Linked DNA regions of Anolis sagrei. The protein of the gene in region 2 interacts with the protein of the main gene of each other region in a pairwise test. Links are inferred from orthologs where the notes say so. Each region holds a gene or a part of one and is shown on either strand. Other genes may lie near its edges.

Region 1 (7,332 bases), on a different chromosome or scaffold from region 2:
GTTGCTCACAATGGGACACAGCACAAAACATTGCAATTTTTGTCGCAGATTGGCGAGTATGGATTGCAGACTATGAATGCATCTTGTGACGGTGCGAGTGGCACCACCTATGTATAGAACTGTTAGTTGTAAGACTTAAACTGTTGTATCATGCTTAATCCTGCCCCTTTTTAACACTGCTTATGTATAGTTGTATGGATTGGTTGCTTGTAGCTGTCAATCAGTACTGTTTGGCTCCACCTCTTCCTGCAAGAGGGGAGAACTTCCTTTTTCTTCTTCATTCTGCCATCAGAGTTCGTACCAGATGGACATGAGTAAAAGACTTGATTCTAAAGGACCCTGATTTAAGTTACCTCTTAGCATCAGTTCTGAGGTTTTTTACCCCTGGGACTCATGCTTTATGTCCAGATCATCCTGGACAATTATTGAGGAGACCCAGGCGCCTTCAAGTCGGTTCTTTTGGCACCAAAGGAAGATCCCGAATCTTCAAAACATAGGCCATCTGAACTGGGGTTGTGGTTTGCCCCAGCATTCACAGCCATTGAGGAAAGAGGAAACTTGGAGAGGCTTCTCAGCTTCAAACCCCTTGGACCCAGGACTGATTGAGACTGTAATATATGTTTTCCTTCACCCCTCTAAAGTTTTCCAGCTCATTGCTTTAAAGAAATGACTTTGTGATAAATAAAACTTATTTTGAGCTATTTACAGCGTTTTGGGTTTTTGGGAGTTCCAGTTTCCTATAGGAGGGCAAGAAACAATCCCCTGGGGGAAAGGTGCCACGTCCATCCCTCCTTTATTGAGAATAAGAGCCCCCAGGCGCAACGGCACAATCTACATCAGGTATGAGCAAACATGCGCCCTCTGGGTATTTTGGACTCCAACTCCCACAATTCCTAACAGCGCTCTCTGGGCCTCCAAAAAATTGGGTTCCCTAAAAAATTTGTGAAAATCCTGCGGCTCCTCCATGATGACATGATGGCAACAGTCTTGGACAGCAATGGCTCCCAAAGTGACCCATTTAAGGTGGAATCGGGTGTCAAACAGGGATGATGTGTTATTGCCCCAACCTTATTCTCCATCTTCATCGCTATGATACTTCATCTTGTTGATGGGAAGCTTCCCACTGGAGTGGAAATCATCTATTGGACAATGTATTGTTGAAGGCTTTCATGCCAGAATCACTGGGTTGTAGGTTTTTTTGGACTATATGGCCATGTTCTAGAGGCATTCTCTAGAGGAATGCCTCTAGAACATGGCCATATAGCCCAAAAAAACCTACAACAATCCATCTATCAGACAGATGGCAAGCTGTTTAATCTCAGCAGACTGAAAGCAAAAACTAAAATTACAACTACATAGAACTCCAGTATGCTGATGACAACATCGTCTGTGCGCATTCAGAAGAAGACCTACAAGCCACTCTAAACACCTTCGCAGAAGCATATGAGAAGCTCGGCCTGTCATTAAACATCGAGAAAACCAATGTGTTCTTCCAGCAAAAGTCACCAGCCAACCCTCTCCAATGCCAGAAATGCAGCTTAATAGTGTAACATTAGAAAATGTGGACCATTCTGCTCCCTTGGCAGCCACCTCTCCACCAAAGTCAATATCGACACCAAAATACAACACCGCCTGAGCTCTGCGAGTGCAGCATTTTCCCGAATGAAGCAGAGAGTGTTTGAGGACCGGGACATCTGTAGGGAGACCAAGATGCCATTCCCCTCCCAACCCTGCTCTATGCCTGCGAAACATGGACTGTCTACAGACGTCACATGCAACTCCTGGAACGATTCCATCAGCGCTGCCTCCGGAAAATCCTGCAAATCTCTTGGGAAGACAAGCGGACAATATCAGCATGCTGGAAGAAGCAAAGACCACCAGCATTGAAGTGATGCTCCTCTGCCATCGACTCTGCTGGACTGGCCACATCATCCGGATGCCCCACCACCGTCTCCCAAAGCCGTTGCTCTACTCTGAACTCAAGAACGGAAAACAGATGTTGGTGGGCAGGAAAAGAGATTGAAAGATAGGCTCAAAGCCAACTTTAAAAACCCTGGCACAGACACTGAGAACTGGGATATCTTTGCCCCTTGATCACTCCAGCTGGAGTTCAGCTGTGACCAGCAGTGCTGCAGAATTTGAAGAGGCACGAATGGAGGGTGAAAGAGAGAAACATGCCAAGAGGAAGGCGTATCAAACCAACCCTGACCAGGACCGCCTACCGCAGTGGTTCTCAACCTGGGGTCCCTAGATGTTTTTGGCTTACAACTCCCAGAAATCCCAGCTAGTTTACCAGCTGTTAGGATTTCTGGGAGTTGTAGGCCAAAAACATCTGGGGACCCCAGGTTGAGAACCACTGGCCTTCCATCTGGAAACCAATGCCCTCACTGTGGGAGAAGATGCAGATCAAGAATTGGGCTCCACAGTCACCTATGGGCCCACAACCAGAACACCTACCTTGGAGGACCATCATCCTCGGACTATAAGGGATCGCCTAAGTAAGTAAGTTAGGAATTGTGGGAGTTGAAGTCCAAAACACCTGGAGGGCCCAAGTTTGCCCATGTCTACACAGTCAATGCTGTGGGATCCTGGGAGTTGTAGTTTGGTGAAGCACCAGCACAACCCCCAGGATTCCATAACATGTTTAAGTGGGTTCAAACTGCATTACTTTTGCAGTGTAGACGAACCCTTGGGAAACAAACGACTCTGTTTCTCTGAAATGTTTGTGTGGCAAGTTCCCCAAAACTCACCCTGCGTCGCGAAGGGACTTGACTGCCTTGCGGAGTAGATGTGGCCTGAGGAGATATCAGGCTGGAGCTGTGGGCAAACGGGGAGCTCCTCTGGAGGTGCGAAGGGATGAAGTCGTCCAGGCTGAGTCCCAGGTTGGCCTCGGGGGCCCCGGCCCTAGAGATGAGGCTGGGCATCTCTGCTGCGATGGAGGAGGAGGAGGAGGAGGAGGAGAGAGGGCCTCCAGGACCAAGACGAGGATGACGCTCACTAGACGAGATGCCCTGGGTGGGTAACAAAAGGAGAGGGTGGCTTTAATACAGTCCCCAAGTTATGAACAAGATAGGTTCTGTAGGTTTGTTCCTCGGGTGAATTTGTATGTAAGTCGGAACAGGTACATTTTCTAAGTGTAACTCCATATCTATAAATAAACATTTAATGTCTTGTCGAAGGCTTTCATGGCTGGAATCACTAGGTTCTTGTGGGTTTTTTCGGGCTATAGAGCCATGTTCTGGAGGCAATTTTTCTCCTGACGTTTCGCCTGCATCTATGGCAAGCATCCTCAGAGACCTGACTACCTCTGAGGATGCTTGCCATAGATGCAGGCGAAACGTCAGGAGAAATGCCTCTAGAACATGGCTCTATAGCCCGAAAAAACCCACAAGAACCTAAAAATGTAAGGTTCGTTTGTGGGATTGACGTAACTCAAAAACCACCGGGCGAATTGACACCAAATTAGGACACAAGGCACCTCTCAGGCCAACGAGTGACCATCACTCAGAAAAACACTGAAAAAATACATTACAATGCATGCATAAAACCATATATATATATATATATATATATATATATATATATATATATACACACACACACGCAAACACACATATACACAAATATATACACACATATATACACACCCAAAACACATATACACAGACTGGGCCACAGCAACTCGTGGCAGGGGACGGCTAGTCTATAAATAAAAATGTAATGTTCGTTTGTGGGATTGACGTAACTCAAAAACCACTGGGCGAATTGACACCAAATTAGGACACAAGACCCCTCTCAGGCCAACGAGTGACCATCACTCCTAAAACACTGAAAAATACATTACAATGCATGCACAAAACCACATATATATATATATATATATATATATATATATATATATATATACACACACACACACACACACACACACACACGCAAACACACATATACACAAATATATACACACATATATACACACCCAAAACACATATACACAGACTGGGCCACAGCAACTCATGGCAGGGGACGGCTAGTCTATAAATAAAAATGTAATGTTCGTTTGTGGGACTTACGTAACTCAAAAACCACTGGGCGAATTGACACCAAATTTGGACACAAGGCACCTCTCAGGCCAACGAGTGACCATCACTCAGAAAAACACTGAAAAAATACATTACAATGCATGCACAAAACCACACACACACACATACACACACACACACACACATATATATACGCAAACACACATATACACAAATATATACACACATATGGAGCCCCCGGTGGCGCAGTGGGTTAAAGCACTGAGCTGCTGAGCTTGTTGATCGAAAGGTCACAGGTTCGATACCAGGGAGTGGCGTGAGCTTCTGCTGTCAGCCCTAGCTTCTGCCAACCTAGCAGTTCGAAAACATGCAAATGTGAGTAGATCAATAGGTACCGCTCCGGCGGGAAGGTAACGGCGCTCCATGCAGTCATGCCAATGGCCACATGACCTTGGAGGTGTCTACGGACAGCGCTGGCTCTTCGGCTTAGAAATGGAGATGAGCACCAGAGTCCCAGAGTCAGACATGACTGGACTTAATGTCAGGGGACTACCTTTACCTTTACCTTATACACACATATACACACACCCAAAACATATATACACAGACTGGGCCACAGCAACTCGTGGCAGGGGATGGCTAGTCTATAAATAAAAATGTAATGTTCGTTTGTGGGATTAACAGAACTCAAAAACCACTGGGCGAATTGACACCAAAGTTGGATACAAGACACCTACTAACCTAAGGAGTGACCATCACTCAAAAAATGGATTTTGTCATATGGGAGTTGTAGTTGCTGGGATTTATAGTTCACCCACAATCAAAGAGCATATTGAACCCCACAAACGCGGGAATTGAACCAAACTTGGCACACAGTTCTCCCATCACTGTGGACTCAAACAATGAGAGATCTGGACCAAACTCTACACAAATACTCAATATGCCCAAATGTAAACACTGGTGGAGTTTGGGGGGAATAGAATCTTAACATTTGGGAGTTGTAGTTGCTTGGATTTATAGTTCACCTACAATCACAGAGCATTCTGAACTCCACCAATGATAGAATTGGGCCAAACCTCCCACACAGAACCCCCATGTGGGCCACAGCAATGCGTGGCAGGGGACGGCTAGTATATACATTAAAATGTAATGTTCGTTTGTGGGATTAACAGAACTCAAAAACCACTGGGTAAATTGACACCAAATTTGGACACAAGACACCTAACAACCCAATGTATGTCCTTCACTAAAAAAAATGATTTTGTCATTTGGGAGTTGTAGTTTGCTGGGATTTATAGTTCACCTACTATCAAAGAGCACTCTGAACCCCACCAACGATGGAATTGAACCAAATTTGGCACACAGTTCTCCCATGACCAAGAGAAAATACTGGAAGGGTTTGATGGGCAGAGTCCTTTGGTTTTGGAGTTGTAGTTCACCTACAATCAGAGATCACTGTGGACTCAAACAACGATTGATCTGGACCAAAGTTGGCACAAATACTCAATATGCCCAAATGTGAACATTGCTTAGGTTTGGGAAAATAGAATCTTGACATTTGGGAGTTGTAGTTGCTGGGATTTATAGTTCACCTACAATCACAGAGCATTGTGAACCCCACCAATGATAGAAATGGGCCAAACTCAGCACCCCCTGAATCAAAATCCTGGCTACGGGCCTGATCCTGCATATCAGATATCTCCATTACAATTCATAGGTAGGTAAAGGTTGTCCCATGACATTAAGTCCAGTCATGTCTGACTCTGGGGTGTGGTGCTCATCTCCATTTCTAAGCCGAAGAGCCAGCGTTGTCCGTAGACACCTCCAAGGTCATGTGGCGGGCATGGCTGCATGGAGCGCCGTTACAATTCATAACAACAGCAAAAACATATTTATGAAGAATGTTCTGGTTGGGGGTCACCACAACGTGAGGAACTGTATTAAGGGGTCGCGGCATTAGGAAGGATGAGGAACATTGCATTAAGAAGAACTTCCTGACAGAGTTTCCACCTTGGAGTCTGGTGCAGTTTTTGTAGGCTTGGATGGCCATCTGTTGGGCCTGCTTTGATTGTGTGTTCCTGCCTGGCAGAAAGGGTTGCACACTGGACGGACTTTGTGGTCTCCTCGAACTCTAGGAGTGTATGAGTTTGTTGCCCACACAGAAACCTTGGCTCCCTCTCCTCCCCCGTCCGGTCTTATGCGCCCGGGCAGGAATGCAGCTGTGCAACGGAGCACACTGTACAGCCTTGTTTGGGGCTGAATAATTAATGTGAAATGGGTTGCATTGTCACAGCGGAAGGCCAGACACAACAGGCATGCACCCCCTGCGCTGGCACAGGAACGTGGCCAGGCAGTGACCTTGCTGTGGGCAATGCACCAGCTGTGGGAAGACGGCTTGCTTCTCCGCCTTGCTCCTTTAACTCCCTGGCATCATTTTTGGTGTGAGAAGCTCCCTTGGGCAGCTTTGCAATGGAAAGGCCCATTTATCCTGCCACATCCCCATCTTGAGTCTGACTATATTGGAGGGAGGCTATCTTTGTAGACTGCAGTGGCTCCGCTTCTTCCCGGAGAGTCACTCCCAGTTGGTGAAGCTGGGGGATACCTGTTCGGACCTGTGGCCTTTGACCTGTGGGATAGAATCATAGAATTGGGCATATCGGGTCTTTGTGCCAAATGTGATCCAGTGAATGAAAATACATCCTGCATATCAGCATATTTACATTACGATTCATAACAGGAGCAAAATTGCAGTCATGGAGTATCAACAAAAATAATGTTATGCTTTTGGGTCACCACAACATATTAAGGAACTATATTAAGGGGTTGTAGTATTAGGATGGTTGAGAAACACTGATATAAGGGGGTTGGTTGAACCCTCGGTTTGCAAGTAAAACTGAATCGCCATGTTGCGATGCATGCCTAAGAATGTTTGGGAAGCTCCGATCTAGAGGTCAGTTTGGACAAAAAAAAAAGGGATAGATTTTCCCTGTTTAAGTTCATTCCCCACCATTTGATTTCCGAAGCTTTTTGCTGGGAACATGTGGAACTGGACGTGTCCAGAGCTCTATTCTCTCTGCGTATTTCCTGCATGGCTCCCAATGTGCCGCCACACCCCTGTTTTGCGCATGTTATCTAATCATCCCTTGGAGAGGGGTGCTCCTGAGGCCGCATCATTCCTTCCATGGGAATCAGAGACGGCAATGCCTCCATTTGGCTGCCAGACAAGGGCCTGATGGGAAGCCCAGAAATGGATCCAAGCCCTGCCGTTTGTGACCGGAGGCATCGAGAA
Region 2 (7,490 bases):
GCACAGACTGCATTACAGAAAATATGATTAAGCTCCCCTTCCATAAGAAACACAACCTCATTTATATCATATTTCTCCTAATCTAATTCTGCCACCAGTGATATTGCATTATCATGAACAGCAGGCTATGTTTTGACCATAGGTGCTTTCTTTACAAAGCTAGAAATTTATTTAAAAATATGCAGTTGAAATAGCTTAGTGAGCTATGGAACATGCTCAAAGAAACAAAGCTTTCGTGTCTAGTTAAGCTGACTACGGAGAAAAATCCCTTGCTGGACTCAGTAACTTTTACATCCTGGGTTTAATTTTAAAGCTTATCCAACCACACTTACCAAAGGCCAGCCCAAACCCAGAACCTCAATCAATGGCTGATAGCAAATGAGAGACTCCCCCTGCCACACAGAAAACTGCGTGACTTGGAAGGCACTGAACATTGAGATGCAGAGCCAACCTTAAGAAATGGGGCTACAAAGTGGAATCCACAACATGCAAGTGTGGAGAGGAGCAAACCACAGACCACCTACTACAGTGCGACCTGAGCCCTGCCGCATGCACAATGGAGGACCTTTTTGTGGCAGCGCCGGAGGCACTCCAGGTGGCCAGGTACTGGTCAAAGGACATTTAATAGAGTTTGCAAATCCTCTCTGTGTGTTTTTTAAATACAATACAACTGTTTGGTTCGCTCCTGACATGATAAATAAATAGCCCAATTCTGAGAATATTTGCCAATTAATTCAATGCCATAGAACTCTGACAATCTCCAAGGTTACATTTCACTAATTTGTAAAATTTTCCACAACTTTTGTAGCACAGAGAAGGGCTACTATTTTTGAATGGCACAGTCAAAATGTTTGAGTTACCTTCCAACCAATATGGGTTTGTTTCTAAAGCTACGCTTGCACTACTAAAATAAAAACTTAATTACAATTACAATGTTCTAATATAATTTACATATGTCTTTGTCTAGAACAATACAACGCACAAAAGCTATATGAATAAAGCTTAAATATAATTATGCTTTTATTGACTAAATTTCAGAATTTTGGTGCCACAATATGATTATTTCAATGTTAATGTTATTACTATTTCTGTATCTTACCTAGCTCAGTAACCTGCCGATCAAAAGGACATCGAACTGCTCTGCCATGGAGAGGAAGTCGAGTGAGGCAGTCATGACAAACAGTGTGGCCACACAGAAGCAGTCTAGGAACTTTGTCTCCTTGTAATGAGAATACGTCTTCACAGACTCCACATTCCAGAACCTAAAAGTTACAAAGGAGTACAGACATACCTCAGTTAACAAAGTAGGTGTGTTACTAGGCATTTCCTCTTTAACAGAAAGTTTGATACCAGAGGTAGAAATAATAGAGAAAGAATACCCTAAAGCAGAATCCCATTCTTTCTCAGCTCAGGTTTTATTACAGATTTTATTTTTTTACTGTAGATCAACTGCTGTAACGTAGTATCTAAAGTGTGTTTCCTCAGCCATCCTCTAGTGCTGCTGCAAATATGCCAGATTCATGGAGGAAAAGAGGGCCTGGGTGGACATTTACTTTATTTAGATTCTGCCTTTCTGCCATCATGAAATTCAAGGCAGAATAAAAATAATTTCTATACAGGAGCCTCACTCACAGAGGTTTCATTAACTGACTATGTTTAATTTCAACCAATACAAAAGTCAACATAATGTGGCAGGGTATAAATAAAGTTTATTATTATTACTAGCCGTCCCCTGCCATGTGTTGCTGTGGCCCAGTCTGTGTATATGTGTTTTGTGTGTGTATATATGTGCATATGTGTGTATCTATTTGTATATGTGTATATACGTGTGTTTGCGGTATATATGTGGTTTTGCACGTGTTGCAATGTATTTTTTGTTTGTGGCTTTTAAGACCCTTCTACTGTGTTTTCCAGTGTTTTTCTGAGTGATGGTCACTCGTTGGCCTGAGAGGTGTCTTGTGTCTAAATTTGGTGTCAATTCGTCCAGTGGTTTTTGAGTTATGTTAATCCCACAAACAAACATTACATTGTATTGTCGAAGGCTTTCAATGCCAGAATCACTGTTGTTGTGGGTTTTTTCAGGCTATATGGCCATGGTCTAGAGGCATTCTCTCCTGACGTTTCGCCTGCATCTATGGCAAGCATCCTCAGAGGTAGTGAGGTCTGTTTTTTTCCTAGTTCCAACAGACCTCACTACTTCTGAGGATGCTTGCCACAGATGCAGGCGAAACGTCAGGAGAGAATGCCTCTAGACCATGGCCATATAGCCTGAAAAAACCTACAACAACCCGAACATTACATTTTTATTTATATAGATTACACTGCAGAATTAATGCAGTTTGACCGCATTTTAGCTGCTGACTCTGGCCCCTTCCACACAGCTTTATAAAACCCCACATTATCTGCTTTGAACTGGGTTATATGGCAGTGCGGACTCTTGACAGCCCAGTTCAAAGCAGATATTGTGGGATCATCTCTCTTGATATTCTGGGTTATATGGCTGTCTGGAGGGGCTCAAAGATGCTATAGCAATCCTGTGCTTTGTAGTTTGTTGAGGCACCTACTCTCTTTGACAGACAAGGCCTTGCAAAACTACAACACCCAGGATCCCACAGCATTGAGCAATGGCAGTTAAAGTGGTGTCAAAACTGCATTAATATGAAAGTGTAGATGCACCCACAGTCGACCAGATAATCGATCCACAGAAGGATCACATCCTACTGCAGAAATATTTGCGGCCTTCTCTACAGCCGAAGGGTTTCATGGCCTTTCCCACCCCCAAAGGCGGCGAGCCTCGAAGGAAAGCCTCCCGGGCCTCTCCCGCTCTCCTCACCTTCACTACCGGGCCGCCCGGGCTCCGTCCCGGCCTGCTCCCGGCATCTATCCCTGCGCCAGCCCCGACCTTGTTTACACTCAGCGCCGCCATCTTGGAAAGGGAAGGAGAAAGCCCGAGCAGCAGCAGCATCCGCCCACTCCGCTCGCTCCCCGCTCTTTCTCCGCCCACAGCGTAGTTTCCCTGGAAACAGCGGGGAGGGTCTGCGCGCTGACGTCACACCAATGAGAACCGCCGAAGATTTGGTTTCCTATTGCACTGCGCATGTCTCCTTCGACGTCACGCTTCATGCTCCTTCCCAGTCGCGAAAGACTACAGCTACCATCATGCTTTGCCTTGACAGCTTGGAGGAAGCTCAGCACGCCTACCCGAAGGGCATTCTGGGGGATGTAGTTCCCAACGCTAGGGCGAACAGAGAGTGGGCCAAAGGCAGAGAGGGTTCATTTCGTTGTGTGGTGGAGGCGGGAGAAAAGGGGAAGTGCTTCCGGCAGAAGCTGGAGGGATTTTGTGCGTCTAAAGGAGGAGGCCCCGAAGTGGCGAGGCTGAGGCCATGGATGTCACCCAGCCCAAGCAGGAGCATCTCCTGGCCTTGAAAGGTATGTCCAGCCTGGCTCGCTTTCCCTTCACTTCATGGAGGCTCTGAAGTGGAGGCCCGAGGCCTTCAATCCTATCTCATCAGCCAAAAGCAAGCCCACGCTTCCCATTGAAATACTAATAAGCTTATGTTTATTATAATTGTTCTTGATTTTAATTATTGTATTGTTTTAAAGTGTTTTTGCACTACAAATAAGATATGTGCAGTGTGCATAGGAATTCATTCATGAGGTTCTTGTAGGTTTTTTCGGGCTATATGGCCATGTTCTAGAGCAGTGGTTCTCAACCTGGGGTCCCCAGATGTTTTTGGCCTACAACTCCCAGAAATCCTAACAGCTGGTAAACTAGCCGGGATTTCTGGGAGTTGAAGGCCAAAAACATCTGGGGACCCCAGGTTGAGAACCACTGTTCTAGAGGCATTTCTCCTGACGTTTCGCCTGCATCTATGGCAAGCATCCTCAGAGGTAGTGAGGTCTGTTGGAAGTAGGAAAATGGGTTTATATATCTGTGGAATGACTGGGGTGGGGCAAAGAGCTCTTCTCTGCTGGAGCTAGGTGTGAATGTTTCAGCTGACCACCTTCATTAGCATTTGAAGGCCTGGCTGAGCCTGGGAAAATGTTCTGTTGAGAGGTGTTAAGATGTGCCTGGTTGTTTCCTCTCTGCTGTTTTGCTGTTGCAATTTTAGAGTTTTTTAATACTGGTAGCCAGATTTTGTTCATTTTCATGGTCTCCTCCTTTCTGTTGAAATTGTCCACATGCTTGTGGATTTCAATGGCTTCTCTGTGTAGTCTGACATGGTGGTTGTTGGAGTGGTCCAGCATTTCTGTGTTCTCAAATAATATGCTGTGTCCAGGCTGGTTCATCAGGTGCTCTGCTATGGCTGACTTCTCTGGTTGAAGTAGTCTGCAGTGCCTTTCATGTTCCATGATTCGTGTCTGGGCAATGCTGCGTTTGGTGGTCCCTATGTAGACTTGTCCACAGCTGCATGGTATACGGTAGACTCCTGCCGAGGTGAGAGGATCCCTCTTGTCCTTTGCTGAACGTAGCATTTGTTGGATTTTCATTCATGTTTTTTTTTCAAATTATAATCCGGCCCTCCAACTGTTTGAGGGACTGTGACCTGGCCCTCTGTTTAAAAAGTTTGTGGACCCCTGTTCTAGACGGGTTTATATATCTGTGGAAAGACTAGGGTGGGATATATATATATATATATATATATATATATATATAGAAATACACACACACACACACACACATAAAACAAATATATTCCACAGATATATAAACCCATTTTCCTACTTCCAACAGACCTCACTACCTCTGAGGATGCTTGCCATAGATGCAGGTGTTTTGTTTTGTTTTTGTCATGTCAGGAGCAACCGCTCCTGTTGTGAGAGAATTGGCCGTCTGCAAGGATGTTGCCCAGGGGACACCTGGATGATTTTTGATGTTTTATCATCCTTGTGGGAGGCTTCTCTCATGTCCCCGCATGAGGAGCTGGAGCTAATAGAAGGAGCTCATCTGCCTCTCTCTGGATTCGAACCTGTGACCTGTCGTCTTCAGTCCTGCCGGCACAGTGCTTTAATCCACTGCGCCACCGGGGGCTCCATAGATGCAGGTGAAACGTCAGGAGAGAATGCCTCTAGAATATGACCATATAGCACGAAAAAAAACCTACAACAACCCAGTGATTCTGGCCATGAAGGCCTTCGACAATTTATGTAAAACATTTATATTCCGCCCTCACCCCGAAGGGAACTCAGGGCGAAGCACAGCATATACACAGAAAACATTCAATACTGAGACACAAATTCACATACAATACATAAACATTAAAAAACATTTATCAGATATTAAAATACACCATTTAGAAGTGTCTGACATGTGATCCAATACAACAGCCAGCAGAGAGATCTTGTCTGCTGTGGACTCATCTTGTTGTGTTTCAAATAATAATAATAATAATAATAATAATCAACTTTATTTATACCCCTCCACCATCTCGAGGCAGCTAACATGAGGCCAAGCCCAAATGAAATTACAATAGAGCAAAATGCATATAAACAAAACAATAACATCAAATAAAATACTTAATAATAACATAATAAAATGAAAATAACAAAATCATAATAAAAACACACGATAAAATGGTAATAGAATTAGAAAAAGAGAGCGAGGCTCATGACTAAAAGTGGATAGAAATTGATAAAACTCATAGGTGGGGTAGGTAGAAAGTGCTATAATTTGTGAGGGGGCTCAAACGGGATAACAGTAGAATTAATCTTCAACTTAGAGATAAGATGAAGAGCATCAGAAAGTCAAGTTGGACTTGGAACAGGACATGGCATGGAAATTGATAGTTCAGTCCCCAAAAGCACACAGGAAAAGCCAGGTTTTTAAACTTTTTCTAAAGACTGTCAGGGTGGGTGCCTGTCTAATCTCCTTGGGGAGCAAGTTCTAGAGCTGGGGGGCAACCACAGAGAAGGCCTTCTCCATCGTCCCCACAAGCCGTGCCTGTGATGGAGGCGGGAGAGAGAGGAGGGCCTCCCCCAAGATCGGAGAGATCGCACAGGTTCGTAGGAGGAAATTATAATGTATATGGCTGTGTGGAAGGGCCCTGGGTCACCATAGGGCAGTGACCCTCAACCTGTGGGTCCCGAAAATCAGCTGGTAAACTGGCTGGAATTTCTGGGAATTGTAGGCCAAAACACCTCGGGATCCACAGGCTGAGAACCACTGCCTTATTTATTTGCTTATTTGTGACATTTCTACCCTGCATTTATGGAAATACCTTCACAATAACGTAATCCTCAAGCGTAATCTGGGCTGTTCCAATACTCATTGCACAACATTCCATATCTCTCTATTGCACAAGTTCTCCAAAGGTTTGGTCACAGAGCCACGTTTGCACTCTCTTATGGAAGGTCTTATGGAGGGAGGGGGCTGATCTAATATCCCTGGTGAGGGAATTCCACACCAAAGGGGCCACCACTGAGAAGGCCCTGTCTCTCATCCCCAGCAGTCACACCTGCAAAGGGGTTGGAACCGAGAGCAGGGCCTCCCCAGACGATCTTAATCTCTGAGGTGGTTTATAGGGGAAGATACGTTCGAACAGGTAAGCTGGGCCGGAACCATTTCAAGCTTTATAGGCTAAAGCCAGCACTTTGAATTGTGCTCGGTAGCAGACTGGCAGCCAGTGGAGCTGACATAACAGAGGGGCTGTATGCTCCCTGTACGCTGCTCCAGTGAGCAATCTGGCTCCCACCCGTTGGACCATTTGAAGCTTTTGAACAGTCTTCAAAGACAACCCCAAGTAGAGTGCGTTGCAGTAGTCTATACGGGATGTAACCAGAGTGTGGACTACCGTGTCCAAGACTGACTTCCCAAGGTATGAGGACAAATGGCACACAAGTTTTAATTATGCAAATGCTCCCCTCGCTACCCCCGAAACCTGGGGATCCAAACTCAGCTATGAGTCCAGGAGAACTCCCAAGCTGCAAACCTGTGCCTTAGGGTTACCATGTTGGAAATAACTAAAAGGAAAAAATTGAAATGAGTAATCCTTATTTTTATTTCCACTGTGATGCCTTGGAAAAAAAGGCCAAACTCCTCTTGAGACTTGGATGTCATTGCCTCTGAAACAGGGATTCCCTTAATCTGTACAATGCAATTTGTAGCCCTTCTTAATAACTCCACAACCAGCTGGTGCTGGAAGAATAGCTCCTCTCTACAAATGTAATTACACACACCTTTCCCACAGGGTCTGTTAGGTATCTTCCTCTGTCATGAACACAATTCTTTATGTTTGGTGCCAACTGTTTTCAGATAGAAGCTGAACTTCATTGAAAACAACTGGGTTGTAAAAAATGAGTACAGTGAGCAATTTGAGAAGGTTCAGTGGTGGAGTTGTTAGGCAAAGAAGCCATGAATGGAATATTTTTCTCCAATTTCTTATAATCAGTAAAGCGGTTAAAAAACATTTGAAGGGTTTTGTCTGAGTGTTAAAAAGAGCAAGCAAACCTAGTGGAATTATTACAATTATTACAAATTTCTCCAGGCAAAA
Region 3 (7,828 bases), on a different chromosome or scaffold from region 2:
GAGACTCAGACACAATGGCTTCAAACTACAAGAAAGGAGAATTCACCTGAACATCAGAAAGAACTTCCTGACTGTGAGAGCTGTTCAGCAGTGGAACTCTCTGCCCCAGAGTGTGGTGGAGGCTCCTTCTTTGGAGGCTTTGAAACAGAGGCTGGATGGCCATCTGTCAGGGGTGTTTTGAAGGCAATTTTCCTGCTTCTTGGCAGAATGGGGTTGGACTGGATGGCCCATGAGGTCTCTCCCAACTGTATGAATCCAGCCTTTCTTCTCAAAGATAGTCCAGGTCTCCATGTCTTTCAGGCTCACATAAGTCATTGGCTCTGAGCAAATCTGCACCCGACATCTATATTTCCTTCTTCTTGCCAACTTTTTTTTCTTTTAATAGACTCTTGCCTGTTCTAGGGAGAAAGTGCCTTCCGCTACGTACAGCCTTACTCAGCCTGCAGGCCTGTGCCAGGACAAGTTGAACCAGTCGCTAGCTGAAACTCTCTTCTGCTTAAGTGTTAAAGGCACAGGATCCATGTTCTCTTTTCCTTTCATCCTTTCCCCAGCAAAACAAAACCTGTACCACTTAAGGAAAGATGTCGGCTTTCCCAGTTTCCATACAATACAATGCTGAAATATAATACTTTTTTCCATGCCAAAGTAAAGCTCCCCAAGCCCACATTGGTAGCAAGGATTCGGCAGATTGAATATTGTAGAGTAGATCCAATTATCAATTACTGGTTGGAGAGTCAACACAAGAGATAAATCTTAGTTATTCAGGGTCACCGTTAATCAGAGATTATTTGAAAGCAGACGATAATGATAAGGTTCAGTTATTGGGTCACAATCCTGGGGAAGCAGGAGATAAATAAATAAGAGATGGTTGTGAAGATGGACAAGTTGCATGTTCTTCAACTGGCATCAAGCAAGAACGTTAACATATTTATGAGTCAGCTCCATGGACTCACAAAAACATTTGCCTTTTTTTGGAAAACCTTATTGTTGTTGTTGTTGTTGTTGTTGTTGTTGACACAAATGCACAGTATCTCACAGCAAATGAGATCTATATGCTGGATTTCATATAAAAAATCACAAGTCGAACACTTCCCAAGCGTCTAGTATATTATTATTATTATTATTATTATTATTATTATTATTGGTGGTGGTGGTGATAGTCCCAGTGGTCCCAGTGATGATTGGCATACTGGGTGCAGTGCCTAAAGACCTTGGCCTGCACTTAAACACAATCGGCGCTGACAAGATTACCATATGCCAGCTGCAAAAGGCCACCTTACTGAGATTATTTTTTAAAATATTTTTATTGAAGTTTTCTTATTACAGGATTAAGTTAAAAGAAAAAGGAGGGAGGGTAAGCTCAGGAATGGTATGGTTGGGTTAGGGGTAGAAGGTATAGGGTGGGTTTGGCTAGGAAAATGGGCTTAGGTTCGGCTTCCAATCATCTTCACTTCGGTAGCAGTAGTCTTCTGAATCGTCTTTTAATTATCTGTACACATTATTCACCAATACATCACACAATCCTAGACACTTGGGAAGTTTCCGATGTGTGATCCAATACAACAGCCAGCAGAGTGATCTTGTTTGCTGTGGACTCATCTTGTTGTGTTTCGAATAATATTATTTTCTTATCTACCTCACATAGCATGCAACTTTAAGTACAACCTGAACATATACTGCAAGTCATCATATGTTGAGCAATCAAATGAGGGATATGCCCATACCAACCAACACCTGTGGGTTCTGTAGCAAGGAAAGATAGATCAGCCATCATTATTTGAGATACTGAGCTGTATTAGAAATGGGACACTTGTCTTTGGCTTAACATGCCTCACCCGGTGGTCCTGGTAGGGAGAAAAGGGTAACCTATACAGCAAGTAAACAAAGAAGACATAAAATAGGACCGTACCTCTTTCCCAGATTTCTCAATCTCCACCGTCACCGTGGTGTGGTTCTTGTGCTCTTGGAACATGCAGAGGTAACAGATGCAGACCTGGTCCGTCTGGCAGAAGAGCTCCATCGTCTTGCCATGGACGGGGCATTTCCGGGCTTCAAAGTCCTTGATGGGATCCAAGAGCTGGTGGTCCCGGAAAGCCGCCCCTTCCAAGTGGGGCTTCAGGTGGAGCTCGCAGAAGCTGGCTTGACACACCAGGCAGGACTTGACTGCTTTCTGCTTGTTGTCAATGCAGGAGTCACAGAGGACCTCTTCCAGAACACGGGGCCTGGAAGTGGGACTTCGGCTGGCCCGGTTGTAGTTGTTCCTCTTGGCTTCTCCTGATTCTCGGAGGATGGGCTTCCTGAGATCTGAAATCGCCCCACTTGAATACAATGACTTTTTCTCCTCCGCTTCATTAGCAAAGGGTTTCTTTGCTTCCATGTTGAATAGGGACTTCCTCAGATCTCCTCTCTCAGGGAAGGAAACTTGGGGCCTCCGAGGTTCTCCAATTTGCACATTTGGGAAGTTGGACTTCTTGGACTCCCCGGGCTCCATGTTGAAGTAGGTCGACCTTTTCTCATCAGATGATTCCACAAACTGGATGATTGGTCTCTTCCAGTCACCCCCAGCATAAATAGAATTTTTCAGTTGGCCTGTTTCCACTGAGGCATTGCTTTTGTTGGTGTCCTTCTCCCCTCGATTTGGGCTGGTGGGTTTCTTCCCTTCGTCTCCCTCCTTCTTAGGAGAGGTTACATTCTTCCCTTCCTCTGGCTTCCCGGTGGTCCCATTTGTCCTTGCCGTCTCCATGCCGTAGGCTTTCTTCTATCTTTCTGGGCTTTGTCTCTTTCTTTCTGGCCTGCAAGTTTGGGTCCCTGTTAGGAAATAGTCAAAGTTCAGCCTCACCTGCTCTTGTCACAAAAATAGGCAAACCTTTTCAAGCTCCTGTCCCAGCAAGGAGTGGAGGAGGAATGACAGCGAAAGCACTACCAAAATGCCACACCTGGAAGAACGGGGAGGAGAAAACGAACACCTGAATTATGCTGGGTAGAGCCAGCCAACGAGAGATGTTACAAAAGACATCAGAGAGATCCAGCTACATAGCTAATTATATAAGGCTGACACACCCAAGAAGATTCCTGTCCGACCAGGTTGGGGAATGAAGATCTGTTTACGTGTCGTTTCCACTTATTTATTTATTTGTTTCAAAAATAAAATAAAATAACGTGCACAAAGAGGCCACGGAAACCAGTTCAGCCACCTGTTTTTGAAAAGGGATCCCCATTGACAGCAGGCGTGGAGCAATCTTTTCGGAGGCCTGGGTTGTCCAGTTGATGTCGAGTCGAAGGCAATTTTGTTAGATGGTTCCCTTTGGCGTATGTCCACATGAAGCATCAGGCTTGTAATGCAAGTGGAAGCCTAGGATTGGCAGCTGGCCACCTCACACAAAACGCTAGGGAAGAGCATGCCAATTCCAGACCTCCAAGAAGTGAAAATCTGCTCTATGGCCATCTGGGTTCTCTACGCGGGGTCGGAACAGAACATATGGGCAGTTGAGCATTTCAGCTTTTTGAGCGCCATCTCAGGCATGGTCCTTTGCACTCCTATGCCTTAGTGCAAGTCTCATTTGTCTGATGGGAGTAAGAAAAGCAACAACATCTGCACACTTTACATTAGAAGATGTGGCGAGAGAATGAGAAAAGGATTGTGCTACTAATAGCAGAGATGCCTCCACACATGTCAGAGAAAATATTTTTCTGGTTACAGGGGCACCGCTTTGACAACCCATTAGCAAAAAGCAGATATCCATCCTATGCATTTCTTGCTATTGGCTGTAGATCTCTCTTTCTCTGGGTGCGTCTACACTGTAGAATTAATGAAGCTTGATATCACTTTTAACTAAGAGATGTAGTTTGGTGAGGCACCAATCCTCTTTGGCAAAGTAGGTTAAAGAACTCATAAAACTACAACTCAATTTGTGTTTTTGAAGGCTTTCATGAGCGGAATGAATCGGTTGCTGTAAGTTTGCCGAGCTGTATGGCCATGTTCCAGATGCATTCTCTCCTGATGTTTCACCCACATCTATGGCAGGCATCCTCAGAGGTTGTGAGGTCTGTTGGAAACTGAGCAAGTGAGGTTTATATATCTGTTGAATGATGTCCAGGGTGGAAGAAAAAACTCTTGTCTGCTTGAGACAGGTGTGAATGTCGCAATTGGCCACCTTGATTAGCACTGAATGATCTTGTAGCTTCAAAACCAGGCTGCTTCCTGTCTGGAGGGAATCCTTTGTTGGGAGGTGTTAACTGAACCTGATTTTTCCTTTCTGGATTTCCTGTTTTCAGAGTGTTGTTCTTTATTTATTGTCCTGTTTTTAGAGTTTTTAAAATACCGGTAGCCAGATTTTGTTCATTTTCATGGTTTCCTTCTTTCTGTTGAGATTGTCCACATGCTTCTTGTGGTTTTCAATGGCTTCTCTATGTAATCTGACATGGAGTGGTCCAGCATTTCTGTGTTCTCAAATAATATGCAGTGTCCAGGCTAGTTCGTCAGGTGCTCTGCTATGGCTGACTTCTCTGGCTGAAGTAGTCTGCAGTGCCTTACATGTTCCTTGATTCATGTTTGGCCGATGCTGTATTTGAAGCTGCACGGCTATTCCATGCTAATCCAAGGTGCCCAATTGCAACCTACCTCAAGCAGACAAGAGTTCTTTCTCCCACCTTGGACATCATTCCACAGATATAAGCTTCATTTGCCTATTTCCAACCTCACAACCTCTGAGGATGCCTTCCATAGATATGGGCGAAATGTCAGGAGAGAATGCTTCTGGAACATAGCCACAAAAACTCACAGCAACCCTACAACCCAATTTTTATGTCAAGTTGCTTTGAGTCTCATTTGGGAGACATAAAGCAGGGTAATAATAATAATAATAATAATAATAATAATAATAATAATAATTCCAGATTCAGTCAGACAGAGTTTTGAAGCACAATACTCCTGAAAAAGCTGACACAATATGAGGATTTAAAGATCGAACTGCAAAGGCAGTGGCACAAGCCAGTAAAGGTGGTCGCAGTGGTGATCGGCACACTGGGTGCAGTGCCTAAAGACCTTGGCCTGCACTTAAACACAATTGGCGCTGACAAAATTACCATTTGCCAGCTGCAAAAAGCCAGCTTACTGGGATCTGCACGCATTATTCGCCGATCCATCACACAGTCCTAGTACACTTGGGAAGTGTCCAACGTGTGATCCCATACAACAGCCAGCAGAGTGTCTGCTCTGGACTCATCTTGTTGTGTTTCAAACAATAATAAGACTGAGAACAAGCCACGAGAGTAAAGACAAAGATCCACCCAGAGGAAAAGCATTCTTGCCATACATCAAGGGAACCACTGACCGCAGAGGGAAGCTGATGAGGAAACACAACATACAAACTATCTACAGACCCACCAAGGAAATCCAACAAATGCTACGTTCAGCAAAGGACAAGAGGGATCCTCTCACCTCTGCAGGAGTCTACTGTATACAATGCAGCTGTGGACAAGTCTACATAGGGACCTCCAAACGCAGCAGAATGGCCCAAACACGAATCAAGGAACATGAAAGGCACTGCAGACTACTTCAACCAGAGAAGTCAGCCATAGAAGAACACCTGATGAACCAACCTGGACACAGCAGATTATTTGAGAACACAGAAATGCTGGACCACTCTCACAACCACCATGTCAGACTACACAGAGAAGCCACCGAAATCCACAAGCATGTGGACAATTTCAACAGAAAGGAAGAGACCATGAAAATGAATAAAATCAGGCTAACAGTATTTTTAAAAACTCTAAAATTACTACAGCAAAACAACAGAGAGGAAACAATCAGGGACATCTAATCACCTTTCAACAAAAGATTCCCCCAGGCACTAACAAGCCACACCAAACAACCAGGCCATCAAATGCTAATCAAGGTGGTCAGTTGAAACATTCACACCTAGCTCCAACAGAAAGGAGTTCTTTGTCCCACCCTGGTCATTCCACAGATATATAAATCCATTTTCCTAGTTTTTTTTTTTTTTTTGGTCGTGTCAGGAGCAACTACTCCTGTTGTGAGAGAATTGGCCATCTGCAAGGACGTTGCCCAGGGGACGCCCGGATGATTTCTGATGTTTTGTCATCCTTGTGGGAGGCTTCTCTCTTGTCCCCGCATGAGGAGCTGGAGCCGATAGAGGGAGCTCATCCGCCTCTCCCGGGATTCGAACCTGCGACCTGTCGGTCTTCAGTCCTGCCAGCACAGGGCTTTAAACCACTGCACCACCGGGGGCACCATTTTCCTAGTTCCAACAGACCTCACTACCTGTGAGGATGCTTGCCATAGATGCAGGTGAAATGTCATGAGAGAATGCCTCTAGAACATGGCCATATAGCCCGAAAAAACCTACAACAACCCAGTGATTCCGGCCATGAAAGCTTTCAACAACAACAATAATAATAATACCATTGAACCATGGCAGCTAAATATCAAAAACTCTATTCATTTGAGACATGGGGACATCCATTGTTGGGACACGTGATATCTTTTTTCCACCTCCTTTTTCAGAAGTGCCAGACAAATGTTTTTGAAGATCATATATATCAGGGGAAGTTCCTCCTCTTCCTTCCTTGCTCTGCCTTTCTTGGGCTGAAATGATCTCTTAAGGCAATAGCCGTGGGGAAACTGACTCCAGACAATTCAAGAATGTTCTAGGGTGGAGATTCGTGTTCTCAGATATACTGAGACAAATATGCAGGGTGCTTTTTTTTTTTTTTAAACCCCTTTCAAATCCAGATTAACACTTGAGGATTGAAAAAGCAGCTGGTAATCAGCAACTGCACACTGAGAAAGAACACATTTATATCTAGGTTGGTAGTCTAGGGGAATTTAAGCTGTTCCGCTGGGAAACCAAGCTTTTTCAAGCCGAAGGGTACTTTGGATAAACAAGCTTCTAACAAGGTATAGGAAAAGTTGGCTGGAATCAGTGTGCTTTGAAAGTGTCTACACTGCAGAGTTGTTCCTATTCAATACTTCCTTTAACTCTCATGTGCAAATTGCAGTGTGCATTGGCATGACATAATTTGCCTACCAGTTCTACAAACTTGTAAACTGGTGTATTCTAGAGTAGTCCATAAATGATATTCATGCAGTTTTGTACCTCTTGAATGGCTATGCCTTGAATTGCTATGCTATGTAGTTTTATAAGGTCTTTGGCCTCCTCGCCAAAGAGGGCAAATGCCTCACCGAGCTACAACTCCCAAGATTCCATAGCATTGAGCCATGGCAGTTAAGGTGATTGCATACTGCATTATGTCAACAGTGTAAACACCCCACATAGCATAACTCAACTGGTGTAAAAATATACTACATTGCCATGTTCATCCCAAGATATCTGATTGGATCCAGTGTTTCACAAACTTGGGCTTCCATCTTGGTGAGATACCAGCATTCTTTGGTTTGGGTTGCTGTGAGTCTTCTGGGCTGTATGACCATGTTCCAGAAACATTCTATCCTGACGTTTCACCCACATCTATAGCAGGCATCCTCAGAGGTTGTGAGATCTATTGGAAACTACGCAAGTGAGGTTGGTATATCTATGGAATGACCAGGGTGGAGAAAGAACTCTTGTCTGTTGGAGGCAAGTGTGAATGTTGCAATTGGCCACCTTCATTAGCATTGAATGGTCTTGCAGCTTCAAAGCCTGGCTGTTTCCTGCCTCAAAGCATCCTTGTTGGGAGGTGTTAGCTAGCCCTCATCGCTTCTTTTCTGGATTTCCTCTGTTTTTAGTGTGTTGTTCTTTATTTACTGTTTTTATTTTAGAGTTTTTCAATACTGGTAGCCAGATTTTGTTCATTTTCATGCTCTCCT
Region 4 (7,129 bases), on a different chromosome or scaffold from region 2:
CAAAGAGGAACTAACGGAAGGCGAAAGGGAGAAACGAGAGCGTCTGGTCTTGCAAAGCCCTCTTATAGTGCCGAAGTTTATTAAATATGGTATTCTGTGGGCGAGCAGATGGCGACTACTGGGTGGCATATGTCCTGTAGCAGAAACTTGAGCTGATGTGGTCTACCCAATGCAGTTTTCTGAATCAGCACCCCAAATAACCAAACCTAATCTAAAGTTGACCAAAAACTGATTCGTAAGCTTTTTGGTACTAATGCTGGAGAGTGGTCCCTGTGGAAGAGCAGACTACGGGATGGCATATGTTCTGTATCAGAAACTAGAGCCGATGTGGTCTATCACAGGCAATTTTCAAAACCAGCACCCCAAATAACCAAACCCAATCTTACATTGACCAAAAACCGATTCATAACCCTTTTGGTACTTATGTTGGAGAGTGGTCCCTGGTTTTCTCTGGCCGAGCAGATGGCGACTACTGGATGGCATGTGTTCTGTATTAGAAACTGGAGCTGATGTGGTCTATCCAATGCAATTTTCTGAATCAGCACCCCAAATAACCAAACCAAATCTAAAGTTGACCAAAAACTGATTCGTAACCTTTTTGGTACTAATGTTGGAGAGGGCAGCAGAACACCAACCTGACTCCCTGTTCTTTAGAACATCTTTTCATATACACTGCCATATAACCCAGTTCAAAGCAAAGCATGTGGATTATCTGCTTTGATAATCTTTGTTATATGGCAGCGTGGAAGGGCCCTGAGTCTACGCTGCCGTATAACACAGTTCAAAGCAGATCATGTGCTTTGTTTGCTTTGATATTCTGGGTTATATGGCAGCATAGAAGGGGCAACTAGACAACTAGGCCCATTACACACAGCTATATAAAATCCACAAGATCTGCTTTGAACTGGATTATATGTCCATGTAGACTGAGGGACCTTCTCACAGCCATGTATTCATTTATATGCCCATCCCCCTCCAAACACCCCACCTTGCCATGCTCAGCACTTTTTAATTTGAATTATTACATTTGGCCCGGCCATTGTTTTTAATTGCGTCATTAGATGTTGTTAATGTTATTGCTTTGTTTTTTTGTTTTTTTGAGTTATTGTGTTGTTGTTGCTGCTGCTGTTTTTATTGTTGTATTTGGGCTCGGCCAAGCCACATTATTATTATTATTATTATTATTATTATTTACGGCATTTATATGCCACCCTTCTCACCCCGAAGGGGACTCAGAGTGGCTTACTATATATATATATAGCATAGTACAATATAAGTATTATATATTACTATATTGTACTATACCATTATATTGCTACAATATTAGTAATATTACATGTAATATAAAACCTATAATTATAATATTGTATTATGTAACCCTGAAAATCAAGGCACAATGTCCACAATGCCTGCTTTGAACTGGATTATACATGTGTGTAGACTCAGGGGCCTTCATCATAGGCATCTAACCCTGGAAATCAAGGTAGATCGTCCACAATGCCTGCTTTGAACTGGATTATACATGTGTGTAGACTCGGGGACCTTCATCACAAGCATCTAACTCTGGAAATCAAGGCACAATGTCCACAATGCCTGCTTTGAACTGGGTTATACATGTGTGTAGACTCAGGGCCCTTCATCACAGGCATGTAAACCGGGAAATCAAGGATTGGCGAAAGGGGAAGAGTTACCTGAGTCCAGACTGGCATTTAACCCAGTTTTACATAACTCACCTGGAAATGACACCATGCCAGATTTGATCAGTTCCCATTCTGACGTTGGAGAGATTAACAATGTCATGGATTCAGCCATTGGATATAACGACTGCATCCCTGTGTCAGGTGGCTGTTCCATTGTAACTGTAATGTGGATGGGATACAGCTGTGTGGAGGGGGCCCAAAGGGAGACCCAGGGCGCCCCAAAGGAGTAAACAATCAACATCCATTGGCATTCCTGACTCAGGGCCCTTCAACACAGCCATGCAACCCAGAATCATAGAATCAAAGAGTTGGAAGAGACCTCCTGGGCCCTCATCCAGTCCAACCCCATTCTGCCAAAAAGCAGGAATATTGCATTCAAAGCACCCCTGACAGATGGCCATCCAGCCTCTGCTTAAAAGCTTCCAAAGAAGGAGCTTCCACCACACTCCCTCCGGGGCAGAGAGTTCCACTGCTGAACGGCTCTCACAGCCAGGAAGTTCTTCCTCATGTTCAGATGGAATCTCCTCTCTTGTAGTTTGAAGCCATTGTCCCATTGCGTCCTAGTCTCCAAGGAAGCAGAAAACAAGCTTGCTCCCTCCTCCTCCCTGTGGCTTCCTCTCACACATTTATACATGGCCCTCATCATGTCTCCTCTCAGCCTTCTCTTCTTCAGGCTAAACATGCCCAGTTCCCTAAGCCGCTCCTCATAGGGCTTGTTCTCCAGACCCTGGATCATTTGAGTCTGCCTCCTCCTCTGGACACATTCCAGCTTAGAGTCAAGATCTCTCTTGAATTGTGGTGCCCAGAATTGGACACAATATTCCAGGTAAAGTGGTCTAACCAAAGCAGAATAGAGGGGTAGCAGGAGGCCTGCTTTGAACTGAGTTACCTGAGTCCAGACTGGCGTGTAACCCAGTTCCATGTGGAAGGGATACAGGTGTGTGGAGGGGGCCCAAAGGGAGACCCAAAGAAGTAAACAATCCCCCTCCATTGGCATTCCTGAGGGCGGGGGTGTCCTTGGGGGAGGGAGGGAAGGAGGAAGACCCGCCCCCCTCAGAGGGGGGAATGATTGACAGCGAGGGTTTAAAGGGGAGGGGGGGCTTTGGAGTGAGGGGAACTCAAGGGAGGGAGGGAGTTGAGGTGAAGAAAGAAGCCGAGGCCTAAGAGGCCAGGCCTGCCTTACCTGCCCGGAGAGGCCTGGCTGAGAGAGAGAGAGAGAGGCCCAGGCGCGCTCCCTTCCACTCTCTGTCTCTGAGGGGGAAACTCCAGGCCCAGGCGCGCCCCCGAGGCACGCCCCCGCCGCCGCGCGCCCCCGCCCCCTTCCGGGCAAGAGCCAGCAGCACTCCAAACTCTCTTCTCACAGGGAGCGTGCGCGCTCGCGAGAGAGAGAGAGGAGAAGGCGTGCGTGCGCCGTGCGTGCGCGCTCCCGACCCTCGCTAAGAAGCTTGCCACGCAGGCCGCTCCTTGCTAGCCCCGCCCCCTACTTTCCGCTCCTGTCTCAGAACTCAAGCGTTTCTCTCTCTCTATCGCGCATGCGTGAGAGGAAAAAGACGGCTTCGTCGTGGCCCCGCCCCTTCTCGTTTCCCTCCAAGACTGACACACATTCTCTCTCTCGCATGTGCGCATGCGTCTGAGAAAGAAGGAGTCAGGGAAATGAAGGGAAATGGGGCGTGGTTTCCTTGTGGTCCCGCCCCTTCTCGTTTCCCTCCAAGAGTAACACACATTCTCTCGCGTGTGCGCATGCGTCTGAGAAAGAGGGAGTCTGGATTAGAAAAAGGAAATGAAGGGGAGAAAGGGGGCGTGGTCTCCTTGTGGCCCCGCCCCTTCTCGTTTCCCTCCAAGAGTAACACACATTCTCTCGCGTGTGCGCATGCGTCTGAGAAGGAAGGAGTCAGGGAAATGAAGGGAAAGGGGGCGTGGTTTCTTTGTGGCCCCGCCCCTTCTCGTTTCCCTCTAAAACTGACACTCTCTCGCGTGTGCGCATGCGTCTGAGAAGGAAGGAGTCAGGGAAATGAAGGGACGGGGGCGTGGTTTCTTTGTGGCCCCGCCCCTTCTCGTTTCCCTCTAAAACTGACACTCTCTCGCGTGTGCGCATGCGTCTGAGAAGGAAGGAGTCAGAGAAATGAAGGGAAAGGGGGCGTGGTTTCTTTGTGGCCCCGCCCCTTCTCGTTTCCCTCCAAGATTGATACACACACGCGTGTGCGCATGCGTCTGAGAAGGAAGGCTTCTGGATTAGAAAAGGGAAATGAAGGGGAGAGAGGGGGCGTGGTCTCCTTGTGGCCCCGCCCCTTCTCGTTTTACCTCTATTCGTTCCTGTCAAAAAAGACACTCTCTGGAGCGCGCATGCGCATGGGAAGGAAGGCGTCAGTTTGGTATAATTTTAAGGAGGCGTGGCTTCGCTGGTGGCCCCGCCCCCTTCTTATCCTTTCTCTCCGTTCCCGTCTAAAAGAGAGGCTGACTCGCGCATGCGCGTGAGGATAGGAAGGCGGAGCCGGATTGGAGAAATGAGGGGAGGGTGTGGGGCGTGGCTTCGGGAGTGGGCGTGGCTTATTAATGGGTCTGTTGGAAACTAGGCAAGATGCCCAGAAGGGCAGGAAGCACCCAGGCTTTGAAGCTGCAAGGGCATTCAATGCTAATTTTTTTATTATTATTATTTTATTATTTCACCTTGTCCATTTGGCCTGCCCATCTTGTTCGATTTTATTTTGTGTGAATTTGCTTTATTATTTTACTTTGCTGTTGTAATCTGGTCCATTTAGTTTTCCTGGCAAGGATACTGGGGTGGTTTGCCATTGCCTTCCGCAGGGATCACGCTTGGTCTGACCTCTCTGCCACGACCGTCCCGTCTTGGGTGGCCCTTCACGGTTTCGCTCATGACATCATTGAGGTGCTCAAGCTCCAGCGCCACAACAAGGCGGTGATCCTTATTTCTCATCATGCCAGGAAGGGAATGCTCAAGATCCTGCAAGGAAGACTCCAGCCAGACATGGAGCGAGAGAGTGGCCAGATGTTCAAGCTGGGTTTAGAAAAGGCAGAGGAACCAGAGACCAGAGTGCCAATATCCGGATGCTAGAGAATGGAGGAAGGCAGGGAGTTTCAGAAAAACATCTATTTCTGCTTCATTGACTCTTCTAAAGCCTTGGACTGTGTGAATGATCATCATAAATGGTGGCAAGTTCTTGGTGGGATGGGCATCCCAAGCCCCCTTCCCTCTCTCCTGAGGAATCTGTCCAAGGACCAAGGAGCCGCAGTCAGAACTGACCACGGAACAGGAGACGGGTTCCAGATTGGGAAAGGCGTCCGGCAAGGCTGCATCCTCTCACCCAACCTTTTTAACGTGTATGCAGAACACATCATGCGAGGATGTGCGGGGCTGGATGAATGCAAAGCTGGGGTGAAAATGGCTGGAAGAAACATGAACAACCTCAGATATGCAGATGACACCACTCTGATGGCCGAAAGCGAGGAGGAGCTGAGGAGCCTTCTCATCAAGGGGAAAGAAGAAAGCGCAAAAGCCGGGTTGCAGCTAAACGTCAAAAAAACCAAGATGATGGCAACAAGAATGATTGACAACTGGGAAATAGAGGGAGAAAACGTGGAGGCCGTGACAGGGTTTGTATTTCTAGGCGCAAAGATGAGTGCAGACGCAGACTGTGGCCAGGACATCAGAAGACGCTTCCTTCTTGGGAGGAGAGCAATGTCCAATCTCGATAAAATAGTCAAGAGCAGAGACATCAGACTGGCAACCAAGATCCATTGCCTAGTCAAAGCCATGGTCTTCCCTGTAGTAGTCACCTACGGATGTGAGAGCTGGACCTTAGGGAAGGCTGAGCCAAGGAAGAGAGATGCTTTTGAGCTGTGGTGTTGGAGGAAAGTTCCGAGAGTGCCTTGGACTGCGAGAAGATCCAACCAGTCCATCCTCCAGGAAAGAAAGCCCGGCTGCTCATTGGAGGGAAGGAGACTAGAGGGAAAGCGGAAGTCCTTTGAAGGCCACCTCATGAGGAGACAGGAAAGCCTAGAGAAGACAATTATGCTGGGGAAAGTGGAAGGCAAAAGGAAGAGGGGCCGACCAAGGGCAAGATGGATGGATGGCATCCTTGAAGTGACTGGACTGACCTTGAAGGAGCTGGGGGTGGTGACGGCCAACAGGGAGCTCTGGCGTGGGCTGGTCCACGAGGTCACGAAGAGTCGGAGACGACTGAACGAATGAACAACAACAACAATTGTAATTATCTTCCGATGTAATTTTCTTTCTGTATTCTGTATTTTATTGTGTTGTATTGCATTTTTGGGCTTGGCCTCATGTTAGCTGCCCCGAGTCCCCATTGGGGAGATGATGGCGAGGTATAAATAAAGATTATTATTATTATTATTATTATTATAAAACCCCTGTGCCGGCAGGACTGAAGAGTGACAGGTCGCAGGTTTGAATCCAGGGAGAGGTGGATGAGCTCCCTCTATTAGCTCCAGCTCCTCATGCAAAGGGGACATGAGAGAAGCCTCCCACAAGGATGATAAAAACACCAAATCATCCAGGCAATGTCCCCTGGGCAACATCCTTGCAGACAGTCAATTCTCTCACAACGGGAGCGACTTGCAGTTTCTCAAGTTGCTCCTGACATGACCAAAAAATATTATTATTATTATTATTATTATTATTATTATTATTATTATCAAGGTGACCAGCTGCACCATTCAAACGTGCCTCCAACAGACAAGAGTCCTTTCTCCCACCCTGGACATCATTCCAAAGGTATATAAGTCCAACTTGACCATTTTCTGACAAACCCCTCAACCTCTGAGGATGCCTGCCATAGATGTGGGAGAAACGTCAGGAGAGAATGTTTCCAAAACATGGAAAGGCAGCCCAGAAAACCTACAACTACCCAGTGAAACCTTATGAAGTCAATACGGACTTTAGGAGGGTCTCCCCAGTAAGAGAGACCTCTAGGACCGCACCAAAGAGAGTCCCTTGTACTTGGCAAGCCGTCAGAGAAGCCTAATTCCAGTAATTTTATTGATATTAATAATTGAAATGAGACTCTTGCCAAGGCGAAGAAGAGGCATCGAGGTTTAATGAGCGATTCAGCTGAAGCGGATGCCATTGCAGTGATCATTCACATGCAAGCATACCAGTACATTGATCAGAGGCATTGTTGTTGTTGTTCATTTGTTCAGTCGTCTCCGACTCTTTGTGACCTCATGGACCAGCCCACGCCAGAGCTCCCTGTCGGCCGTCACCACCCCCAGCTCCCTCAAGGTCAGTCCAGTCACTTCAAGGATGCCATCCATCCGTCTTGCCCTTGGTCGGCCCCTCTTCCTTTTGCCTTCCACTTTCCCCAGCATCATTGTCTTCTCTAGGCTTTGCTGTCTCCTCATGATGTGGCATTCAAAGGACTTCCGCTTTGTCTCTAGTATCTTTCCCTCCA

What was found.
Region 1: the proteins of TRIM23 (region 2) and SORBS3 interact in binary tests that used the Homo sapiens proteins (3 or more experiments, as listed by UniProt). The two-hybrid records come from large-scale screens. The link is inferred for Anolis sagrei from reciprocal best matches to the Homo sapiens genes TRIM23 and SORBS3.
Region 3: the proteins of TRIM23 (region 2) and TRIM29 interact in binary tests that used the Homo sapiens proteins (3 or more experiments, as listed by UniProt). The link is inferred for Anolis sagrei from reciprocal best matches to the Homo sapiens genes TRIM23 and TRIM29.
Region 4: the proteins of TRIM23 (region 2) and NEK6 interact in binary tests that used the Homo sapiens proteins (3 or more experiments, as listed by UniProt). The link is inferred for Anolis sagrei from reciprocal best matches to the Homo sapiens genes TRIM23 and NEK6.

Annotation. Positions count from the first base shown.
Region 1 is NC_090027.1:1,016,650-1,023,981, forward strand, and holds the start of SORBS3 (vinexin), read right to left. Parts: upstream 3,008-7,332; 5' UTR 2,925-3,007; coding exon 2,751-2,924; intron 1-2,750. UniProt on the Homo sapiens protein: Vinexin alpha isoform promotes up-regulation of actin stress fiber formation. Vinexin beta isoform plays a role in cell spreading and enhances the activation of JNK/SAPK in response to EGF stimulation by using its third SH3 domain.
Region 2 is NC_090022.1:268,041,602-268,049,091, reverse strand, and holds the start of TRIM23 (E3 ubiquitin-protein ligase TRIM23), read right to left. Parts: upstream 3,009-7,490; 5' UTR 2,966-3,008; coding exon 2,834-2,965; intron 1,263-2,833; coding exon 1,100-1,262; intron 1-1,099. Other genes in the region: TRAPPC13 (trafficking protein particle complex subunit 13), read left to right, coding at 3,384-3,429.
Region 3 is NC_090027.1:37,820,040-37,827,867, reverse strand, and holds the start of TRIM29 (tripartite motif-containing protein 29), read right to left. Parts: upstream 3,002-7,828; 5' UTR 2,744-3,001; coding exon 1,910-2,743; intron 1-1,909.
Region 4 is NC_090031.1:625,967-633,095, forward strand, and holds the start of NEK6 (serine/threonine-protein kinase Nek6), read right to left. Parts: upstream 3,009-7,129; 5' UTR 2,884-3,008; intron 2,612-2,883; exon of another isoform or gene 2,590-2,611; intron 1-2,589. UniProt on the Homo sapiens protein: Protein kinase which plays an important role in mitotic cell cycle progression. Required for chromosome segregation at metaphase-anaphase transition, robust mitotic spindle formation and cytokinesis.